2 linked regions of the Rhinolophus ferrumequinum genome follow. The protein of the gene in region 2 interacts with the protein of the main gene of each other region in a pairwise test. Links are inferred from orthologs where the notes say so. Each region holds a gene or a part of one and is shown on either strand. Other genes may lie near its edges.

Region 1 (11,342 bases), on a different chromosome or scaffold from region 2:
CCTTGTGCAATCAGGAATTAGGAAACAATTTAAACAGACAAGGCAAAATGGTATATTAGTTACAATTCCATTTCCTTTTCTGGCCAGGCTTTGTCTCTTTCCTCACTGTCTGTTTAACGAAAACACCGTGCATTTTTCCTGGAAGCTGGGGAATGAGAAAGAACTTTCCAGCTCCATTATCTTCACTTCCATGTCATGAGTGTTTTGTTTTTAGTAGCAGGGGAAACTCAGATTAAATTTTCCATGCGAGTACGATAGAGAATCACAGTGAAAATAATTTATTTTACCATATGGTAATTTAACCAGGCCATCTCAACAATTTGGATACTACCCCATTCATGGAAACCTTTGACTGACATTGGAGAAGCTTCATTCTAGTAGTTGTTATTGCCAAGTGCTTGGATTAGCCATCCACATACTTAAATCTTTCTGGAATGCTACAAAACATTGAATAGCCATTTTCCCTATATTAGAGTCCCATGTTTTAGAGACAATTGGTCATAATGTTCAGCATGGGTTTTAAAAACCACATAGATGAAATATTTGGTAGTGGAGCGTGTAATTCAGTAGTTGCTATTTGAGAGAATTTTAATTTAAAAATACCAGGTATTAAAAAGTAGATTTTTAATTTTGGCAGCCATGTTCATGATTATGAAGGCTGAGCTCCTGGAAATAGCTGCAGTTTATTTTTGTATGATAGCTCTCAGTAGATTATTTATTTTTGGTTATGTATTATGTCAGGGGTGGAATTTGTTTTGGCAGAAATCGTGGAGTTAGCTGGACTGATGGAATCTGAAGCCTGGCAGCATTCTTTGTTGGATGCTAGAATGGTCAGTGTAACATCAAATATGCTGTGTGTGGTTTGGCATCTAACAAGCTGTTAGGTGCACTCAGCAAGGGTCCCAAGTCCTGTCTGCTATGGCCTGAATGTTTGTGTTCCCCCCCCCCCCCAATTCATATGTTGAAGTCCTAACCCCTAAAGGCGATTGCCTTGGGAGTTGGGACCTTTGGGGTGCTTGGGTTACAAGGATGGAGCCCTCATGAATGGGATTCATGCCCTTCTAAAAGTGGTGTTACAGAGATCCCTAGCCCCTTCCACCATGAGAAGGTGCTGGTGATGAACCAGGAAGAGGAGAAGAGAGTCCTTCCCAGAACCTGACCATGCAGGGGCCTTGATCGTGGACTTCCAACCTCTAGAACTATGAGGGATAAATTCGAGTTGTTTATAACCAACGTAGTCTGGTGTTTTGTTTTCACAGCCTGCATGGACTCAGACACTGCACAGTACATAATGAGAAAACGATTGCTTCAGTACGTGGTAGAGTGTAGGATGCAGATGATGAGAAAATGTTAAGTTTGTGAAATATAAATTCCTCTACTTTGGTGGATTTAAGGGATGTTTGGGGTTCACAGCTGTCCTGTGTGATCTCCCAAAGACCCAAATTAGCCATGGTAATGAGGAGAGTTTATCAGATTATAGAATCTCTTGAGAAGAACCCTTAAGGAATCATAGGCCTTAGGAAACTCTACTTCTTCAGCAAAAAACACCTAACAGGCCTTCTGTTCAAACAAGAATGGCTTGTTTGGTATTTTTTTAAAAACAGCCTCCCAACCTACTTCACGGGGCTGTTTGATGCCACTGTAGTGGGACTAGTGGTTTCAATCAAGGGAGTTCAAATAAATATTTTTCTTATGGATTGTTTGTATTTGTTAGAGCTATATTAAGTGCCAAAAATGGTTTAAAAGTACCCAAATGCCTGGATATAAAACTTGAGCAATGGTGTTTATTTGGCCTCAAATTACCCTCTTGTCCTCTTGGAAAAATAACACATTTCTTTTAGCTCTGCTTTATGGTAGTTGGATAAGAGAAGTGGATGACCAACTGACACCCCTATATGAGGTGTGATCACAAAATACGGTGAATGTTTAAATAAAAAAATTATTACAGTAAAAGACACATTGCCATTAATCCCCCTCTAAATACACCTCCTTGCTTCGAACACACTTATCCCATCGTTCCTGCCACTTTCTGAAGCAGTTCTGGAAGTCCACTTTCGTGAGGTCTTTACTTCATCCTCCTTCATGACAGTACTTCATGTCACACATCGCTTCTGGTAGAGCAATTTCTGTCAAATAAAAACATGACGGTGTGTCCTCATCCACCTTATTCACCAGATCTGGCACCGTGAGACTTCTGGCTCATCCCCAAAGACAAAATGACTGTGAAAAGAAAACGTTTTGAATCGATTCAGGACATTGAGGCAGCCATGGCAGCACAACTAAAGACACTTACAACCCCGAACTAAGAGCTATTTAAATGGCCTTCAGTGGGTAAATGGTTAGAGAAACCATGCTATGTGCATACCATGGAATACTACTCAGCAACAAAAAGAAGTAAGCTATTGACGTGTGTGTGTGTGTGTGTGTGTGTGTGTATGTATATATATACACACAGTCAACTTGGGTGGATCTCAAGCGCAATATGCTGAGTGGGAAAAGCCAACCTTCCAAGGCCACATATAGTATGATTCCATTTATGTAATTGTCTTAGTCAGTTTGGGCTGCTATAACAAAAATACTATAGACTTTATGGCTTAAAGAACAAATAATTATTTCTCAAGATTTTAGAGGCTAGGAATTCTAGGATCAAGGCCCCAACAGATCTGATGTCAGATAAGCGTCTATCTACCTCCTGGCTTATAGACAGACAGTTACTCTGGCTGTATCATCATGTGGCCCATGGAAAGTGATCTGTGTCACTTCTTCTTATAAGGGTATTAATCCCATCATTAGGGATTAATGTCCCACTCTCCTGACCTAATCTAACCCTAATCACCTCCCAGAGGCCCTATCTGCAAATACCATCACATTGGGGATTAGGCTTTCAACATAGGAATTTTGGAGAGACACAATCAGTTCACAGCAATAACATTCTCTAAGTTACAATTACATAGATGAAAAACAGATTAGTAGTTCCAGGGGTTAGGGATGGCAGGGTGGGGGGGGGGTGTGACTATCAGATAACATGGGAGAAATCTCTGTAGTGATGGAATAGTTTTATATCTTGATTAGGGTGGTGGTTACATGTATCTACCCTATACACACATTGTACCAATGTCAGAATCCTGGCTTTGATATTGTACAATAGTTAGGTAAGATGTAATCACCAGGGAAAGCTGGATAAAGTATACACAGGACTTCTCTGTACAATCTTTGCAACTTTCTGTGACTCTGTATTTCAAAATAAAATTAAAAATTTGATTGCAGTTCTTTCAGATTATTTCGAATTCCTTGGCAGATAAGAGACTACATTGTGTCTTGTATTCGTGAACCATTAGCTTTTTCATAGTTCAGCTGTTCTGTCTAGTAGAAATAAGACCAGTTGTTCCAAAGTAAATAAGATAATTAGTTACATTTTTAGATCTGCTGACTCAAAGTGCTTAGCAGATTGTCAGCTAATTTTCTCTTTCATTGTTTCCATGGTTTGCTAGATCAAGTAAAAGGATTATTAACCCCAGTTCCTTCATCAACAAATAATTATCGCATACCTGCTAAGTGATGGGCTCTATTCATGATATGGGCATGAACAAAACAAGATTCCTACCCTCCTGCAGATTACATTTTTTGGCATGTGAAGTGAGGGAGGCTAAAAGAAGGTAGAGAACTTGTCCCCTGCCCTCCTGGATACTGTTTGAGCTGAAAGGAAAGGGGACTCTTCCCATACCTACCTCAGTGTTCTACCCTGCAGTTTGGTATCTCTCAGTAGCATTACCTCAGTGTGGGCAGAATAGTTTGGATCTGATGATGTTTCTGGCAGGAGAAGGAATGTGATTTGCATTTACTGGACCTAATATGGATTAAGAACTGTAAAGACTCTTATAAGGAAAACAAAGGCATAGAGCTTCTTTCCTTAGGTGTGGAGAAATATATTAGTACCGGAGGCACTGATACAGGATGGATTTTATAAAGAGATTAAACAAACAGAAACATTGGAGTCAGATGTCTGAATTTGAATTTGGGACCTCCCACTTACTAGCTGTGTGACTTTAAGCAGGTTACTTAAGCTCTCTGAGAAGGTAATTTCAGTCTTGTTTATTTTTATACAGGGTAAATTAAATCCATATGAAAGCTAATTGTAAACTGGCAAGTTGGAAGGATTATTGTTGAGAACAGAGGGCGGTGGGACTCCCTTGCTTCTTTTTCACCATCAAGACATTGTCTAGACTCTACCCTGCGAAGAGCACATCCCCATGTTCATGGACTTGGTCTCAGTACACTGAAATAGGGAAGTTTAAAGATAATTAAAATAAAGATTGAGTTTTAGAAAGAGGAGTGTCTTAGGTGAGGTAGAAATGTGAATAGAGAAAATAGATTAATAGAGAAGAAGTATTCTGGGCAGGAGGCTTGGATGGCTCCCCTCTTCCTATCATGCTACCCCTAATTCAGTGCATTGTTTCGTGTGTGTGTGTGTGTGTGTGTGTGTGTGTGTGTGTCCATCTGGGTCCATGTCCCTCCGTGTCTTGCTTGCTCCCCTCTATATTCCACATGGTCATTGTAAAATAAGCCTTGAGGTTGTTTCTTTCCTATTTAAAAATGGTGAGTCTTTTGTTCCATCAGCCACAGGCTTTGCACCTCAGCAGGATCCACAGCCTTGGAGTTCCGACCTGTACTCTGAGATCATTGGGCTTCAAAGTGGAAAGCCCAGACCTCATTTTCTGCTTCTAGTCCTAGTTTTACGCTTTTCTAGTCAACCTATTCTGCTTTCCAGTAATTGTGTTTAACCATTTTTTTCACATAGTAATTAACACCTGAGGCTCTAGAATAAGACCACGTAGGTTTAAATCTTGACTGCACCGCCTATGTACTAATTATTCAACTAATTTGTGCCTCAGTTTCCTTATCTGTAAATAATACCTACCTCATAGGAATATGATAGTAAGCACTAACACTTAGATATCGTTATTTATAGTTATTACTTGAGAGTCTCCGCTGCATTTTGTCTTGCTGATGACAAAATGGCTCTCCTATCTCTCGTGTGACCTATCCTGCTCGTCAGTGTACCTTTTACCTATGCTCTAGATTTTCTTGCTCAAGCGCCCCTTGTTACCTTGATTTTGGTGGGATGCGCATTGGTGCTGAGAGCACTGGGACTTGAGAAAGCTTCTGAAGCCTTTTATTACCCATGATCCTACATCATCATCTTCATTGCTGACACTGTTATAAGACCTGTAATGTGGCAGAATAAGACATGCCAGTGGCATCCTTAGTCCTGAGAAAAGACCAAGAAATAGTGGCTCACCTGTTACAGGCTTAGCTGGAGGTCAAATAGAAAGACTTCTAACTAATAAGCTCCGCTCTTCCCTATTACCTCCTGCGTCCGTTCATTGAACACATTATTGACTTCTTACTGCGTCCAAGGGTGAGGATAAATAAGTCAGATGTAGCTCTTAATTTTACTGACTCACAGGGCAGCCATAGGGCACATGCATGACCTGGGCACCGTGGTGCCCCTCAGAGTGTGTCAGCAGTGCCAGCCTCACCGGGAGCTTATCAGGGGCCCCAAATTCCCGGGGGTGTTTTCCACGCTCTCCAATTTCCACGCTTTCCAAGAGATGCTTATGCCCACTGAAGTTGAGAGGCAGAGTGTTCGTGTTGTCGCTGCCCTTGTCGCTGCCCAGCGACAGGCAGCTAGGGCACGTGGCTGTTTCTTCTCTTCGAGGCCTGCCAAGCTGGCCATTCCTGCAGCAGTGAGAACAGACACAGTCCACCTGGAAGGCTGCTTGGCAAAGACTGGGTCACGACTTTGTGGAATATTCTCTAGAGCTCCCAAAACGCCTCAGTAACCCAGGACTGTCAGGACAACGGACTGCTTTCTGCTGGAGCTCTTAACGTGAAGGGTCAGGAGCGACCCTGGCGAGCCTGGGGCTGACGTGTGTGGGCACAGTGGGAGTGACCCTGGCAAGGAAGCGGGGGAGGCCTGGACATTGTTTCTCCGTCTCCTGTCCCGCTGCTCTCAGCCCTGGGCTCCCAGCTCGCAAGCAGCAACGATGGCGTTCCCAGGCAGGGTGCACCCCTCTGTTATCCCAGAGAATGAAGAAATCCCCCAGACAGCCCTGAACGGTATCCACCAGGCTAATGGAAATGAAGACGAGAGGGCCGTGTCTAAACTGCAGCGCAGGCACAGTGACGTAAAAGTCTACAAGGAGTTCTGTGACTTTTATGCAAAATTGTAAGTGTCTCTCTCCTGGAGTTCCCCTCTTCCAGACCTAGCCTTCCTGGGCTTTTAGTTCCCGAGCCATTTGCGGCTTTATTTCCTTGGCTTTCAGCAGGGGCTTTCCAGGGTGATGCAGCATATTCCAGCAGGCAAGTAGGTTGCCTGGCATTGGAAACCTTCTGCTGGATGAAATGCTGATGTGAAAGAAAGTGCTACCTTTAAATTAAGAGTAGGAACGTCTTTGTCTTCTTCAGTGGGTTCCTGATAATAGTACATTTTCATTGTGTAGTCCAAAAGGGAGGGTTAGTTTTTTCATTGTCAGGATTTATAATAGAAAAACTTTATCCTCTAAAACTTCCCCCAGACAAGAGGCAGGTGGGGGAAACTGAAAAATTGAATTGCAGACTGCTGATAAAGATACAGATTTTTATTATGTTTAACAGTCAGCAGTTTGAAGTAGGCCAACTGGGTTTCTTAATACTGTCTCTAGGGGACTGAATGAATAAAAAAGGATGTTGTGTAACCAGGAGATAGATAGACATATAGATAGATACATCATGCGTTCAAGCGGTTAACCCTACAAGTTAAATCTATTCGTTTTACTAAATGAGTTTTAGCAAACAGTTGTGTTTTTTTTTAAATAGTGTAGAGTAATATTTAGACTAACTCATTCAGGTAAGATTGTTGACCTTAAGCAAAGTTGTAAGCTTGGAATTATTGCAAATCCCCAATTTATGAGTTGAGAGTAGAGGAGAGTTTGATTGACCTGATTCTCTATTTCCATGAATGCATTCTGTGTGGTATTGCAACAGATGTCATTTATTTTCACAAGTCATAAAGAGCTCTTTTTAAGAGTAACCGGGCAATTATAATTTCACTGCAACCAGAATGCTTGGTGAACTCTCAAGATGCTGTTTGAATTTACACATTTTTGCATTTTAATAATAGAAAATTTGTTACACATACTTTGATAAATGAGGCACTTAAATAAAAGAAAGCTGATGATGTCAAGTTTTCTGTGTGTGGTTGATTTGTGGAAGTAGATCAGCTAAAACAATTATGACTGGGCAGTTACGGACATTCCGTGCTAAAGGCTTTTATACATGTGTATATCGGTAGGTAGGTAAGTAGATAGATAGATAGATAGTTACAGATATCACAATGTATATAGCCCTTGTCATCAACCCTTTTGTTGAAAATTTTAGTGGAAATTCTTTTCTGAGAAATTGGCCAATTTATTATAATTAACAGCTATAACTATCATTCATGATTGTTTAAAAAGTAACTTGTATTTTGTGTATTAAATATAAAATATGAAAATCAGCTGTAAAAAAATACATAGGTTAATACAGGTTCATCCATTTTAACAAATGTGTCACCTGGGGGGGGATGTTAGTTGCATGGGAGCGACGTGTGTGTAGGGACGGGGGGTGGGGGGGGCATGTGGAGAATCTCTGTGCCTTTCTCTCGATTTTGCTGTGAACCTAAAACTGCTGTAAAAAATAATCCGTTAAAAAAATACATAATGCCAGAGGATCGAAAACAGGAAAGGGAAATGTAAACAGTTTCAGTAGGTTGATGAGATTATTGGTATTTTTTTTCCTGCAAGTTTCCTCTAATGTTCTGTTCCTTTTCTTTTCCTGCTTGTTATAAAAAGGAATACTTCTTCAAAAAATACATATTATGTTATCTCTAAAACTAGTTTATTTTTCCTGTGTATGCGAAAAACCTTTGTGCTTCTTTTTATAACGTGTCTGTTTTCTAATTCTAACTATTTGAGTCCTTGAACTTGAATATAAACAGTCTGTAGTATAAAAGTCAATGATAAACAGTTTGATCTTGGGACCCCTTTACACTTTTAAAAATTACTAAGGTCCCAAAGAGTTTTTGCTTTATCAATATTTACTGCATTAGAAACTAAAACTGAGAAATATTTTAAGTATTAGTTCATTTAAAATAATAAGCCCATTACACAGTAATATTAAATATTAATGTTAATATTTTAATGAAAAGTGTTTCTAAAACAACAAAAGCTTGGTAGGAATTGTAGCATTGTAGCATTTTTGCAAATCTCATTAACGTCTGTCTTAATAAAAGACAGTTTCTCATAACTGCTTCTGCGTTTATTCTAATATGTTGTTTTAGATTAAAAGTATATAAAGAAAACACAGTCTACCACAAAGATGTAGTTTGAAAAGGAATGACCTTTGAACCCCTTAAAAAGGTCACAGTGTCCCCTAAGTTTTGAGAACCACTGACCTAGGTAATAATGAATCAGGACATTCTGGAATGGTCTTCTTTTCTAGCTTTTTTGGAGTTCTATTAAAATCATTGAGGTTTTGGTGAATCCAAACCCTTTTGAGAGAGTTTTAAATGAATAAAAATGCTTTATATTTGAGTAGCCTTTTCTGGTTTCCAAAGTGGTTTTATATACTATTTCTTAGTTCATCCTCAAAACTAAGAATTATCAGGGCAGGTATGGGCTTACTATACTTTCATCAAGCATGTATTTTGTGGATTTTCATCAGAAGAAAAGAGGAAGCACAAACCTTCCCAGAGCTTTGCTAAAACTTCCATAATTTATCTGGCTTATGGCAAAGCCATGTGAAGAAGGGAATTTTACAGATTTTTCTCCCTAACCTACAGTAATTTTGAAATGACAGTAGAAAATTCCTTTTAATATGTGATTTAGGCCAGGTTTGCCAAGCAATGAGGCTGCTTCCCTTCCTCCTTTTCTCCTTTTTTTTGGGGGGGAGGGTGATTTTAATTCTATACTGAAGCCTGTCAAGCCTAAATTAAGCCTAAAATTGAGTGTTGATTGGTACTAGAGTGTGAATATGGTGCTAAGTTAAGGCAAGGCTACAAAATAGGAATACTGTTCTTTGAAACTTTTGGGGAAGAAGGCCAAGTTGCCCTCCATTGGGGTAAGGTGGAGATGAAACAAGGTATGTGCGAACACTTTTGCTAAAGAAGCAGCAAAACTTAGAAACTGGTAAGAGACAAGGCAATTAATCTGTCCATAAAATGCAGACTCGCCTGCCCACTTGCCTCACAGGGAGGTTGTGAAGATCCAGGAGAATGAAGGCAGTACCTGTACAGGTGGACTGATTCAATGCTGGGTGGGTCAGAAGCTGCCCCAGGGGACCAGACACATAGGTAGAGTTTGCACTCTGAGTGGGCATCTGAAAAGAAACTTGCCAAATTACGAAGGACGGCTTAGCCAATGACTACTCTGCTTAGGTGACCTTCTCCACTTGGAGACCTTCCAGAAACAAAACAGTTCTTTACGTGAAGTTCAGAGGGCCTATTAGAGAATAACTAATTATCTGATTATATGCTTTTCTTGCAAAGTGCACAAATCTTGGGACCATTTATTGGATGCCTCCTGAGTAGAGTGGAATGACTGGCGAGGGAGTTACAAGTCATTGGGCTCATCGTCAGTAACTTGATGCCTGCTTTTACTTTCTTCATTGTAAAGTGTGGTGGAGTCCCTATCATGTCCTTTCAAGTGTTTGAAATTGATTCTGTATTCCAGTTGTGATTTTGAGTGGGAGACCTGGATTCTCATCCTGTAGCTTCCCTTAACGAATTACTAGCTTTGTGGGGTTGGGCCAGTCACTCCACTTCCCTGAACTTACATTTCGTCATCTGTAAAATGATTGTCATAATGGTAAAATTCTTTGATTTTAAGATGTATTTTATAATATTAGTATTCAATACTTGTCTTGTCAATTAGATTATAGGACTGAGGGATTTTGGCTGGTTTTAAGAGTTACTTAAGCAGTTGCTTTCAACAGGATGTAACCAAAGGGATCATCTGTGTCTATGCTATGACATGGCATTCAGTTGACGTGGTTTAGATTCTGTTCTCAGAAGGGAGAGAAATTGGCTTTGAGATTCTGACTTGTGGGTATTTTAATTAAGCTTCTTTTCAAGCTGTAAACTCGAGCTCCATGAGGGCAATTCTTGACCTTCATCTCTCTCCCTAGAGCCTAAAGGTAGTAGGCACTCATTCATGGTATATTGATCAAGAGGAATGTCAAAACTGTTAAAGAAAAACAGGGTCGAAGCAAGAGACCCGTTCTGAACCTAAGGTGCTAGGACAAAGAGATGGGAAAAGTCTGAATTGAGTACTTATGACACAAGCAAGAAATTGGCCTTTATAGATAAAATCTTTTTATGATCAGATAGAATGCGCTCTTTAGTTCTTTGTGTTTTTTTGTTCTTACGTCTAAGAAAAGGTTGGCAATCCGTGACTTCCTGTCCTTTGTGTTACAGCAACATGGCCAATGCCCTTGCTAACGCCACTTGTGAGCGCTGCAGGGGGGGTTTTGCGCCCGCCGAGAAGATTGTAAACAGTAATGGCGAGCTGTACCATGAACAGTGTTTCGTGTGCGCTCAGTGTTTCCAGCAGTTTCCAGAAGGACTTTTCTATGAGGTGAGTCAACTTGGACAGAAGCATAAAGGTACCATTCCCTTTCCCTCCTTTTTTTGAGGCGTCCCTCTTCCCTTTAAATTTCAATGTCAAAGATTGCATTGAAGTGCCAGCTACAGAGCTGGGTATTTGGCAACTGTCAGGTCAGTGGTGGCTTATGTGTGCGCTGACAGACCCCACCATTTATACTGTTCATTTCATCTTCCTATTTCAGAACCCGCAGTACCGTGACTCAGCCTGTCAGACCTGAGCACTTAGCTGAGCAAATTCTTTCATAAACTTCAGCCACAGTTTTTCTGGCGTATCCACTCAGGTCCCCACTTGTTTGCTCCCTACACATACTTGCGTGATTCCTGCCTCTGTGTCTTTCCTCCTTCTCAGAGCACCACTGGATATCCTCTCTAGAGGAAAGGTATCTGTTACCTACTCCGTGACTTTTAGGCAACAAGTGGGACCTTCCATGTGTTTATTTTCTAAAGAGGCTCTTGTTTGAAATGAGTATTTGGGGGAGATGCCCTGCCCACATTTAGCTCTTCTATGTGTCTTATGGTCTTTTTCAAATACTTTATTTTTTGTGATGCTCTGCTGTTACCCTGTGGCCTACACTTTGTATTCTTACGATGACTGAAACCCCCTTCTCACAGTAAACGTCTATGTTTAGGACTGGTCTCGGGAGGCTGACCCCATGCTCTT
Region 2 (11,536 bases):
TGATGCTGGGCACGTCAGCACGCTGTAGCTTCCAGTCAGTGATGTGATTACGAGGGTAAGCAACTGTTACTCTACAGTGTGATAGTAAATGCATTTTCGACTTAATGATATTTTCAACTTTTGATGGGTTTATTGGGATATAACACCATCATATGCTGAGAAGCATCTGTATTTATGTAGAAACATTTAAAATATATATTTTAAACTTATGTTACTACTCCCTGCCTTCTTTTCAATTGTTTATAGTAATATCCAAATGTGTGAAAATAAATGCAAATTAATAGTTATGTAAGATTAAATTGCTTATGTAGCTAATAAAATAGTTTTAATAAGAATGTATAATTAGTGAGCTTAACTAGTAAGTGGTACTTTTGTCTTTAGATATACCATCTACATACAAACTTTTCAATTTAAGAGAAAAAGAAATTTATTTTCCATGGATATAAATTTAAATTATATTATCAGTACTAAGCTTATTTGTATAGCAATTAAGCATCTTGTAAGAGCTCAATACGATCAGTTTGTGAATCCATTTGTTGGTTCTAATATCAAGTCATAACCATGTTCCTGCTCTTAGCTCTTGAACTACCTTCTGATGATGACATACATTTCATAAATACGTATGTTGCATGTGAACTTTGCTCATTGGCTCCATCTCCTAATCAACAAATGGGTCTGAAGCTAATTTAATATTATTTTTAGAAAATGTTAAATTCTATTCTACCTTACGTATTACACCCAAAACATTTTGGACTCACCCTCCTTATCATTTCCTATCAAGGAAATGCAATACAATTTAATATTGACCTACAATAAATTTAATTTGGAAGAGAATCTTTTGGAGGAAAAAAACATTCTAGAGCCCTGAAGAATTCAATTTATAGTAGAAAGAGCATAATCCTTTGAGCATATAGAAATCTTTGGACAAATAATTTGATGTCATATGAGATAATAGATATAAATAGATATAAAATGTCCTTGAAAAACTCAGTTACTAGGCACAAGTAAGGTGTAATTTGGTCTATGTATGCCATAGTTCCTTTCTTTGGTATAGATGATTGAAATTTGAATTTTTAAAAATTATTTAAACCTTTTAATTAGTGTATTGCTCTCAAATATGTTTAACAAAGGCTTCTTGACTCTTTAAGTGGATTCAATTACATGGGTTTCTAATTTAATAAGGTTAAACTATTTTCTGATATTAGATCTTAATGCTTTCCAAGGTTGCTGATTTAATTTTTATCTCTCTGACAAAAATAAAATATATGTTCTAAGTTAAGCTTTGACTTCGCTTACTCAAGCTATTTGTTGAAATTTATTATACATTCTATTAATGGGGTGGAAAGTATATTGACATTTGTTGCACCCACTATGTTCTAGGAACTGTGCTAGGCGTTTTATACATCATAGATCATGTAATTCTTCCAACAATTATTAGAGAATGGTATTAGTTTCCCTAACTTAGAGATGGAGAAAAGAGAATTCAGAGGGTTCAGTAATTCGCAAGGGTAAACTGGTTTGCAGCAGAGTCAATATCGAAACCCATCTCAAAAACCTTTATATTTTTCAATATACTACCCTTGCTCTTGTCTGTAAAGATAAGAAACAAATGGAGGTGATTATATTCCAGAGTCCACTTGGACTGAACTAAATTTACCAAATTTAGAAGCATCCCTCAGGTAGGATTTTCCCTGTGAAAAGATAAGGGGATTAGGAAAATTAACATTTAGTTCCAGGAGTTAGAATTGAAAATTTTGAGACTTTTGTTCTCAGGCCCATTTCCTTGGAATTCCTGAAGTTAAAAACATTCAAAGAATTTTTGATCAATTATAAGCATAGCACTGTATTAAGAGCTCACCACTTAAATAACAAGTTCTATCATCTCAGACATGGGTTTTGAATCCTGCAGTTCTGGTCTTCATAACCTTACTGAAACTTTCCTGTCAGTTCTAACCAAATTTTAGATGTACTAACTTTTTAGGCAAAAATCCTAAACTATATCAACATAAGAGTGACTAAAACAATACAAGAATACATGCATACTAAGAAAATAAACAGTCGAGATAGTTTAAAGCAATATTAAGTCAGAAAACGACAGCAAGATCCTCAAACTTGAAGGGGAATATGAAGGAAATATTAAGGAGTGTGTCAGTTTGATACAAAATTTTATGATGGCATTAAGAGATTAAGGGCTTGAAGTGGTAGTCACCTTCATTACCAATGGTAACTCCATAAATTTAGCCACTATGACAAAAAAAGTTTGGGGACAATAATGATATAGATTAAGATATAAAAACAAATAATTTCTTAGTTCAGCAAAGACACATTAACATAACTCTACAATACAATTTTATCTTTTTACAAATCCTTTAGAAAACAGATTAGATTTCATGTAGCATTCAGAAGAGTCAATGTAGGGTAGTGAAAAAAAACCACTATTAGTCTGGGCTGGTATTCAGGAAACTGAGATGTTCTGGTGCCAGAGCGACCCTTAAGTTATATAGTGGTGATTCACCTACATTTTGGGGCTTTTCATTCAACTCAAGCATGAGGAGTTGGATTCCTTAGTTATATTTAAGAGTCCTTCTAGCTCAAAAATGTTAGGATTCTAAGTGCTTTTGGCAGGAAACCCATGCAGATATTCAGGAAGGAAAGAGGTTACTGTTGTTAAGAAAGCTAACATTGTTGACAAAAACAGTCATTGTGTGAAACTGTGTCGCTAGGAATAAAGGAATTCATCCAATGAGACTTAAAGAATTGAAAGATTTTTAAATGAGTAGAACAATTTTTGACCCTGGCCCTGAGATAATTTAGGGCCATTCAAAATACACACACACACACACACACAAACACACACACACACACTCCTAATTTGATTGATAAATCCGTATATCCTTAATTTTAATCAAAACATCACAATGTATGAATATTTTAAAGGAATCGATTTATGGAAATACATAAAATTCATGTTTAATAGCACTTTCATATATTTGAAACGGAAAATCCTATTAAATGAAAACTGTAAAATCCCTCTCCAAAATGTAGAGTTAACCTTAAAATTTTGCCCAAGGATTTTTATGAAATATACCTCTAGCTTTTAAATTGCTTTTCTTAAAATCATAGATATAAAAATGCTCAATAAATAAATTTGAATTCCAAGTTAAGTTTATTTTCAAACAGTAAGCCCTGTATTTTAAACACTATATGATTTAAAAATTTTTAATTACCATATATAATATAGTCACCAAAAACACTAAAAGTATACTCTGTTGACATGTCTGTATCTTACCTGAAAAGAGAAAATTTCACCCAACTAAAAATTTTGATCCATATTTCCTTCAAATCGTCAGAATACAGCTTATGCTGAATAAAATTAATTTTGGTTTGCTGAATCAGCACATTCCTTTTGCAGATTCAACATTACATGGCTTTTTAGAAGTTTAGCTGAATTATCAGCAGTTTTATGCAGAATTGCTTTGGAGTGAAAAAGCATCCAAAGGGTTTTGCCAAAAAAAAAAAAAAAAGAAAAGAAAAGAAAAAAAAAAATCTTATCTGAATATTTATTCTCACTTAAAAAATTCTTTATTAGCATTCTAAAGAAATTTATAGCCTTTGAGTGTGAATACAATGACAAAGTAAGAACTCTAGTGACAATGAAAAGTGTGCATCAGTCTTGCTAGGCTCAAGGCAAAGTTATATTAAGATAGCTTACAAATAGCTTTAGACAGGAGAATATTCAGTATAAATCTGTTAAAAAAATTATTTTAATTTCCAAATAAATTCATGTGTAAATTGTAACATTAAATTGAATGCCAAGAAGATGCATGCGTTCAATTCAACCTAATACTAAGGGGGTAGTTTGGTATGCCAAAATAAATCTAAAGGGATCGGTAACTTTCATTTTAAATGACACAAACTCCTAACATAAATTAATCGGATCAATGAAAGGGAGACATAAAATAATTATTTTCAAATATAATATAAGGGAACGGAAGATACAAATTTTCTTTAACCCCAAAAGTTGTTCGGATGTAATAAGGCATGACAAAACCTGTCTTCATTCCTTTCTATTCAGCTCAGCAAGTGCTTTTGAGCTCCAATAGTTAATCAGTTACCAGATTCCACAATGTTTTTTTTTTTTTTTCCACACTCCTCAATTCTTGCTGTGAATTGTTCCTCTAATGTACTTAGGATCACCAAGGAAGCCAACACCATTTTTTTCTTTGCACCTTAAAAAAGCAATTATTATTTCATCCACAATTAGATTTATCATATAAAATTGTTCCTGTGTAGCAACAGTCTATAAAACATAATAGGACATTATCAAAGAAGTAGATGGCTTAAGGTGAATCATTAATAGGTGAAATATATTTAGCAAAATTGTTCAACTCAGCTTTTTAAATGACTGTATGCCCAAGTCATGCCCAACTTACAAAAAGGTATAGCCAAAGTGTATTATATACCAAATAACCTTTATCCAAACAAATCAGTGAACATATATGCAAGTGTTACAAAACCATATAGAACCAGTTTTACATAAAAGGTATAATGCAGTTATTATCATATTAAAAATAGACATCTTAAAACATCATTTAATTTAACCTTCCAAAAGTGCACAGAATACTGAGAAATATATAAAAAAAAATGTATTAACTTACCCTTCAATTTATTTAGAAACCCTCTGCTCTTGGTCAAAAGCAGGTGTTTCACTGCTGACTTTCCCTGAAGCTATGAACTTAAACAGTAAATCAGTGGAAGCCACCTCGCTGGACCACGCTAGAGTTTACTAGACACTACTGCTATGTGGAAGAGTTGTGCTGCATCTAAGCTATATACAGTGTGCAATGGATAACCTAATATGTCTTTCATTTAACTGGCTGGGCAGGTTTCTACCGTCTGTGGAACATGGAATCAAACCAGAATATGTTGGCATAACAGGCCAGTCAAACCGGTTCTTCTGTAGGTCCAGAACCTGTCCAACCAGTCTGCATCAAAGGCTAGCCTAACAAGCTGCAGCGGCTCAGTTCTGCTAAGCTTGTACTGGGTGAGTTATCCCCACCTGCAACTTCCAATAAACTGCTCAGAATGTTGTAGCCTCCAGCAAAATAATTCAGAGTTCTAGTGGGAGGGGTAGATCTGTGTCAGGTATAGCAAGAGTCCATTGTTATAAACCTCTCCGTGAGTATCTATCGTTCTCCGAGGTAGGTAACCCTTTTTAAAATGTACTCTAGGGCTCTGCACGCTAAAGCTTCTAGAAGGAGAATATCTACATGAAGAACCTATAGTGTTTAACCTTTTCCACTAGTCCACTTGGCTCTATTCAGTCTAGCTTAGCCTTAACGTGGAGGTTGATATTCCCACAAGAGTAGTGGCCCTGAGAGCTAGAAGGAAGCATTTCCAGAGGGAGGAAAACAAGATGGAGATTGACTAAACATTTACCTGGGTGTGTTAATCTTCCTTGTACTCAAAAGATCCTTATACCATCCCAGTCTAAAATTGGAAAAATTCCTATTTCTATATACTAGGACAACTTGGAGAGGTTTTACTTTGGATATGCAACAGCTGAACACAAATTACTGATATCTACTAGGTGCCAGAAGCTGTGCCCGGTACAGGGTTACAATGATGAAAAAGACACATTTAGTAAGAGGTGGGAGGACTGTCCAAATTTCTAGATAAGCATGTCTAGGAATCTTTTGGAAAGAAGGAATGAGCAACACAAGATCATATATTGATGGAAATTGGTTTGTGTTAAGGGAGACCATGTGAGATTTGTTCTTACTCTGTCATAATACTTGCACATTTCAAATCAGTCTTTTCTATCTATTGATGCAGCGATTCTCAAATTTCCTTGCTTAAGTACCTCCTGAAATGCTGATTAAGAACACAAATTACCGGGTCTCACCTCCAGAGATTTCGTCCGGGGTGGAGTGTTACTAATAGGTCTAGGGTGTTACTCAAGCACTTGTGATTATGCTGCAGTTGTTGCAGGGACCACAGGCCCAGACTCCTGCTTCTTTTCTATTTTTTTGTACTTAATTAAATAGGATACATATTAATCCAAAGTTGCCATTTGTTTTTGTGTCTCCAGTGTCTAAAACTCCAACACTTAGAAAGTATTTAATAAATGCTTAAGTAAATATCTACTCAACACCAGCACTTGCTAGATCCAAGGGGAATTACAACTAGTAACTATTATGTGAATCAAACTGCATTAGGTACACAGGAGCACAGAAAAGGGAGCAAATATGACTGAATAGGGGAAAAACTGCACAAAGGAGATGGGTTTAGAGCCTTTCTTAACCGTGATCAAAGATTGATATCTGCAATATAACAAAAGGTTGAGGGAACAATGAAAAGAATGCCTTTGATTTGATACAGTAATAAAAGTTTTAAGTACTTGAGGACACCATGACCTGAAAACTTAATAATAATGTTATTTTCTAGAGCAGGGCTTAGCAAATTTTTCCACAAGGATCAGAGAGTAAATATTTTAGGGTTTTTGTTTCAACTATTGAACTCTATTTCAACTATTGAACTCTAACATGGTAGTACAAAAAGAGATGTAAACAATAGTCAATGAATGGGTGTGGCTTTGTTCCAATAAAACTTAATAAAGTGACAGGCTGGATCTGGCCAATGGGCCATGGTTTGCTGACAACTGCTCAAGAGTGAAACTGGTGAAAATTAACAAGATTGGTTAGGAAAATGGACTTGGGAGTCAGAAAAATGGGTTCCTTCCTAGTTTTGTTCCATATTAGCTTTGTCACCTGAATCAAGCATTCATTTTATTTACTTAATGTGGGTGAAAGTAATAGTTGCTATCTCCAAGAGTTATTCTATGGTTCAAATAAAATAATTCACATGAGGCTTTATCCAAAAATCTAGTACACAATAAGCACCCAATAAAATGTCAGCTAAAAATAAAACTGTAGTTAAACAGTAGTTGACATGGTTGTTTTTTTCATTATTTCTTAAAGTCCCACTACAATGACCAAAACAGTAAATAGCAAAGAACAAAAACAGCATGAACTCTTAAGGATCAAACAGAATGAGAGAGGTAGCACACAAGAGATGTCCATAAATTTTGGAAGAAGGAATGTGCATAGGTGATGACTGATTTAGCAGAATAGAGAAAGAGGAAGTCTACTTGCAATGATAAAAGAAAGTCTATCTTTGCTGCAGAATCCTAGAAAACTTCTGGAATTGGCGGCATCTCTAAATGGTTTGGGGGAGTTTGGGGAAAGGCTTTAAATGGAAGGATTGGTTGACAAAAGACAGGCAGGACTTGTTGATTCATGCTGGGAGAGATTGTCCCAGATTGGTTCTAGACTTGAAAATACCAGGCAGAGATGAAGGCGAATGGTAAAGTACTACACTGAAAGCAATGAGATTGTACTAGTTTCCTATGGCTGCTATAACAAATTACCACAAACTTAGTGGTTTAAAAGAACACAAATTTATTGTCTTACAGTTCTGGAGGTTAGAAGTCCAAAATGGGTCTTACTTGCTACAGTTAGGGTGTCAGCAGGGTTGAATTCCTTTCTGGAGGCGCTGGGGGAGAATCTGTTTCCTTGTCTTTTCCAGCTTTGAGAGGCTGCCTGCCTTCCTTGGCTCATGGCTCCCTTCCATCTTCAAAGCCAGCAATGGCCAGTCAAGTCTTTCTCACATGGCATCATTCTAACACTGACTCTGCTGCCTTCCTCTTCCATATTTAAGTCTAACTGTGTAATACAGGATAATCTCCCCATGTTATGTAACATACATATTCATAGGTTCAGGAGATTAGAATGTGGACATCTTTGAGAGGCTGTATCCTGCCTACCACTGAGATTAAGTCAAAGTCTCTATATTGAGTGGTGAGATGCCCAGGTCCATACCTCTGCTTGGCTTCTGAATGCCAGTAACCAGGTTCATACTCCTCACTCAGAAAGCAGGAAACTAGAGAAATTCTCTCCAAGAAAATTTCAAAACTCTCCTCACCCTAATGCAGTGGTTATTAACTAGGCATGGTTGTACCCACGGGGCCATTTGGCAATGTCTGGAGAAATTCTTGATTGTAAATAACTGTGTGTGAAGGGTGTGGAGGGCAGAGGTATGCCATTGGCTTCTACTGCACAGAGGCCAGGGATGCTATTAAGCGTCTTAAAATGAACAGGACAGCACGTCCTCCCTTCTCCCTGCCCCAACCCCCACATAATTATCCAATTCAAAATGTCAATAGCGCCAAAGATGAGAAACCCTAGCCTAATATTAAGCCTATAGCCAACATCACCCTAATATAAATAAATAAATCCCACCTAGACACAGAGAGCATTTTTATGCCTCATTCTAAGATATAGAGAACACCTAACATGAAAGAGACAAAAAAGGAACCAAGAGATAAAAAGAATTTATAGAAAATTGTCAATGTAGGGAGAATAATAATAATTACAAACCCCACCTATATTAATATCTTCAAAAACCTAGAAGTACTGATTACATAAAACAAGAACAGAAGGCTGTCTAACAGTGAAACTTTTGGAGAATAAAAAAGGTATTGGAGAGTAAAAAATATGATAGCAGAAATAAAAAGTCAACAGCAGTTGGAAGGTAAAGTTGAAGAAATCTACCAGAAAGTAAAATTAAGAAACTACTAAATGATGTGCTACGAAATAGGAGTAAATTAAGAAAGATGAAAACATGGAATCCAGAAGTGTCTCCACTTCTTTTTGCTTAAAGTTCAACATGGCCACCAGTCCCAAGACCACAGCACCAAATAGGGTCCTTGCACACCAGTAAGTTATGGAGACTGTGATTTTTACTTTAAAATCATCTTGCCTATGACTGAAAGAAGGAAAGAGAGCGAGAGGAAGACAGAGGGAGAGAGGATGGGAAGAAGAAAGGGAGGAGGAGGGAAGAGAGAGAAAGAGAAGAGAGAGAGAGAGAGAGAGAGAGAGAGAGAGAGAGAGAGAGAGAGAAAGAAAGAGAGAGAGAGAGACAGAGAGAGAGAGAGAGAAGATGTGAATATGATTGGTTTTTACTATGAGAATTAAATTTAAAAGTTTTTTAAATTGCAAGTGTTACATTCACTTTTCACCAAGGGTTAATGTTCAAAGATCATAAAATGAGGAAGGCAATAAAACTGTTACAAGTACAAACTTGCACCTGCAGAAAAAAGTGTTCACATTTATGTCTGCCAATATTCATAAGTAAGTGTTTGCAAAATACTATCCAACAGCTAGTAAAACAGGATCACTATGAAATTAAGAGCATATTTTATCTGAATAAGCCCAAATCAAGAAACCTGATTTTGAGCTTGCCTCAGTTACTCTTAGGGTATGTAAACATGGATTAGTTATTTATTTAACATTCTGAGCCTCAGTTGCTTCATTTATTAAATGATGGAATTTGATTGGATATATTCTCAATATCTATTTAGCTCAACACTTTTATTTGAAAGTTTTTTGGGCAAGTGAATAATTCAAAAAATGTGGGAGCAAAGGCAAGATAGCCAATCAAAAAGACATTTTACAGAAGAACAATTTTAAAACGCAAGCTTGTGTCCTCCAAAAGCTGACACAGATATGGGTTCAGGTGCAAGTGATTTATTAGAAAGGTGCTCCAATATGAAACCAGTCAGGGAGGCGGGACTAGAAAGGAGAATAAAAAAAAGCAAAAGTATGACTTTAGCATCAGCCTGGCCCCAAGGAGCTCCAGAGCATAAATCACAAAGAAAGAGTTTATCCCACTTGGAGGCAAAGGAACTATGTTTTCATTCCCCTGAACCAGTCATGGCTACTGGCTTCTTCAGGGATTTGTAAACTTCCAGGCACTTTTGGCTGTCCAAGACAAGTGGTCTAGTAGCCCAAGAACATTCCTTTGAAGAAGTTTGCAGGCACTATAACATTAAGAATGAAGCATTAAGACTTCTGCTTCCAGCCAAGATGGAGTTATAGGAATCAGATTTACCTTACCACCTGAAAAAACAAGAACAAAATGTATAAAACAATGGTTTTCAAAACACTGTATATCAGTTAACAAAGACTATTATCTGTTTAAGAGAAAGCAAACGAACAAGGCGAGCCCTATAATCACCTCCACAGAATTTCCAGGTCATGGCGAGCAGAGGGGTAACCCAGGTAGACTATAGTGGTCTCACAGAAATTGTCAGGTTGGATAAAAATGCAAAACCCAACTATATGCTGCCACCAATACACATACTTTATAAAATATTAAAACCCACATAGGTTAAAAGTAAAACGATCACAAAAGACACACCATGCTAACACTAATCAAAAGACATCTGGAGTGGCTATATTAATACCAGACAAAATAGGTTAGATGAAAGAATATTACCAAGAACAAAAAGGGTCTTTTCAAAATGATAAAGGGGCTAATTCAGCAAGGAAACCTAATTCTACATATAAGGTCAGACAGTGAAGTGCGCGAACACATCCTAGAAAAATTTCTACATATCTCATTGCTGAATATCACTATGTTCACCTTTGAAGTACTCCCCTTGGGAAGCTATGCACAGATGCCAGCCCCTAGTCCACCCTTCAAAGCAATTTTGGAACTCTTTTTGGAATGGCCTTCAGAGCTGTCGTTGTGTTACACTTGATGTCCTGAATGTCATCAAAATGTCTTCCTTTCAGTATTTCCTTTACCTTCAGGTAAAGAAAGAAGTCATTGGGGCCACTTCAGGTGAGTAAGGAGAGTGTTCCAATACAGTTATTTGTTTACTGGTGAAAAACCCCCTCACAGACAATGCAGTGTGAGCTGGTACATTGTCGTGATATCAGAGCCATGAATTATGGTGAAAAGTTCAGGTCTAACTTTCTCAGGCAGCCTTTTCAGCACTTCCAAATAGTAAATTTGGTTAACTGTTTGTCCAGGTGGTACAAATTCATAACGAATAACCCTTCTGATATCAAAAAAGGTTAGCAACATTGTTGCAACAAGTTCATAAACTTAATTGTCAGACCTTGTATTTATGCATCTAATGACATAAATAAAAATGTGTGAAGCAAAAGTTTATAGAACTGAAAGGAGAACAGAAGAAATTCATAATTATATTTAATAATTGGATCTGGAGATTTCATTAACTCTCTCTCAATTATTGTTAGAATAAGTGGACAGGAAATCATTAAGAGTGTAGAAGGTTTAACACAATCAACCCACTTGATGTACTTGACATCTGTAGATCACTTGGCCTAAAAACAATTGAATGTACATTCTCTTTAAGTGTACATGGAACGCTTACCAAGATAGATCATTTTCTGCGTCCTAAAACAAGTCTCAAATTTAAGCAGATTCAAGTTACATAAAGTTTGTTTTCTGACCACAATGGAATTAAATTGCAAGTCAGTAAGTGAGTAATGTGTGGAAAATCCCCAAATATTGTTAAACTAAATAACACACTCCTAAATAACTCATGGATCAATGATGAAATAAAGTGAGAAATTAGGAAGTATTTGTAAGGTAAATATATAGTTAAGCTCAGAATGCTTTAACGTAATGGTGGTGAGTAAATCACTTATAAAACAAGTAAGAT

Evidence for each region.
Region 1: the proteins of RBBP8 (region 2) and LIMS1 interact in a two-hybrid assay, tested with the Homo sapiens proteins (2 studies listed by BioGRID and IntAct). The two-hybrid records come from large-scale screens. The link is inferred for Rhinolophus ferrumequinum from reciprocal best matches to the Homo sapiens genes RBBP8 and LIMS1.

Annotation. Positions count from the first base shown.
Region 1 is NC_046296.1:5,784,665-5,796,006, forward strand, and holds the start of LIMS1 (LIM and senescent cell antigen-like-containing domain protein 1), read left to right. Parts: upstream 1-5,960; 5' UTR 5,961-6,047; coding exon 6,048-6,229; intron 6,230-10,492; coding exon 10,493-10,652; intron 10,653-11,342. UniProt on the Homo sapiens protein: Within the IPP (ILK-PINCH-PARVIN) complex, binds to F-actin, promoting F-actin bundling, a process required to generate force for actin cytoskeleton reorganization and subsequent dynamic cell adhesion events such as cell spreading and migration.
Region 2 is NC_046302.1:18,507,290-18,518,825, reverse strand, and holds the start of RBBP8 (DNA endonuclease RBBP8), read right to left. Parts: upstream 4,791-11,536; 5' UTR 4,659-4,790; intron 1-4,658. UniProt on the Homo sapiens protein: Endonuclease that cooperates with the MRE11-RAD50-NBN (MRN) complex in DNA-end resection, the first step of double-strand break (DSB) repair through the homologous recombination (HR) pathway.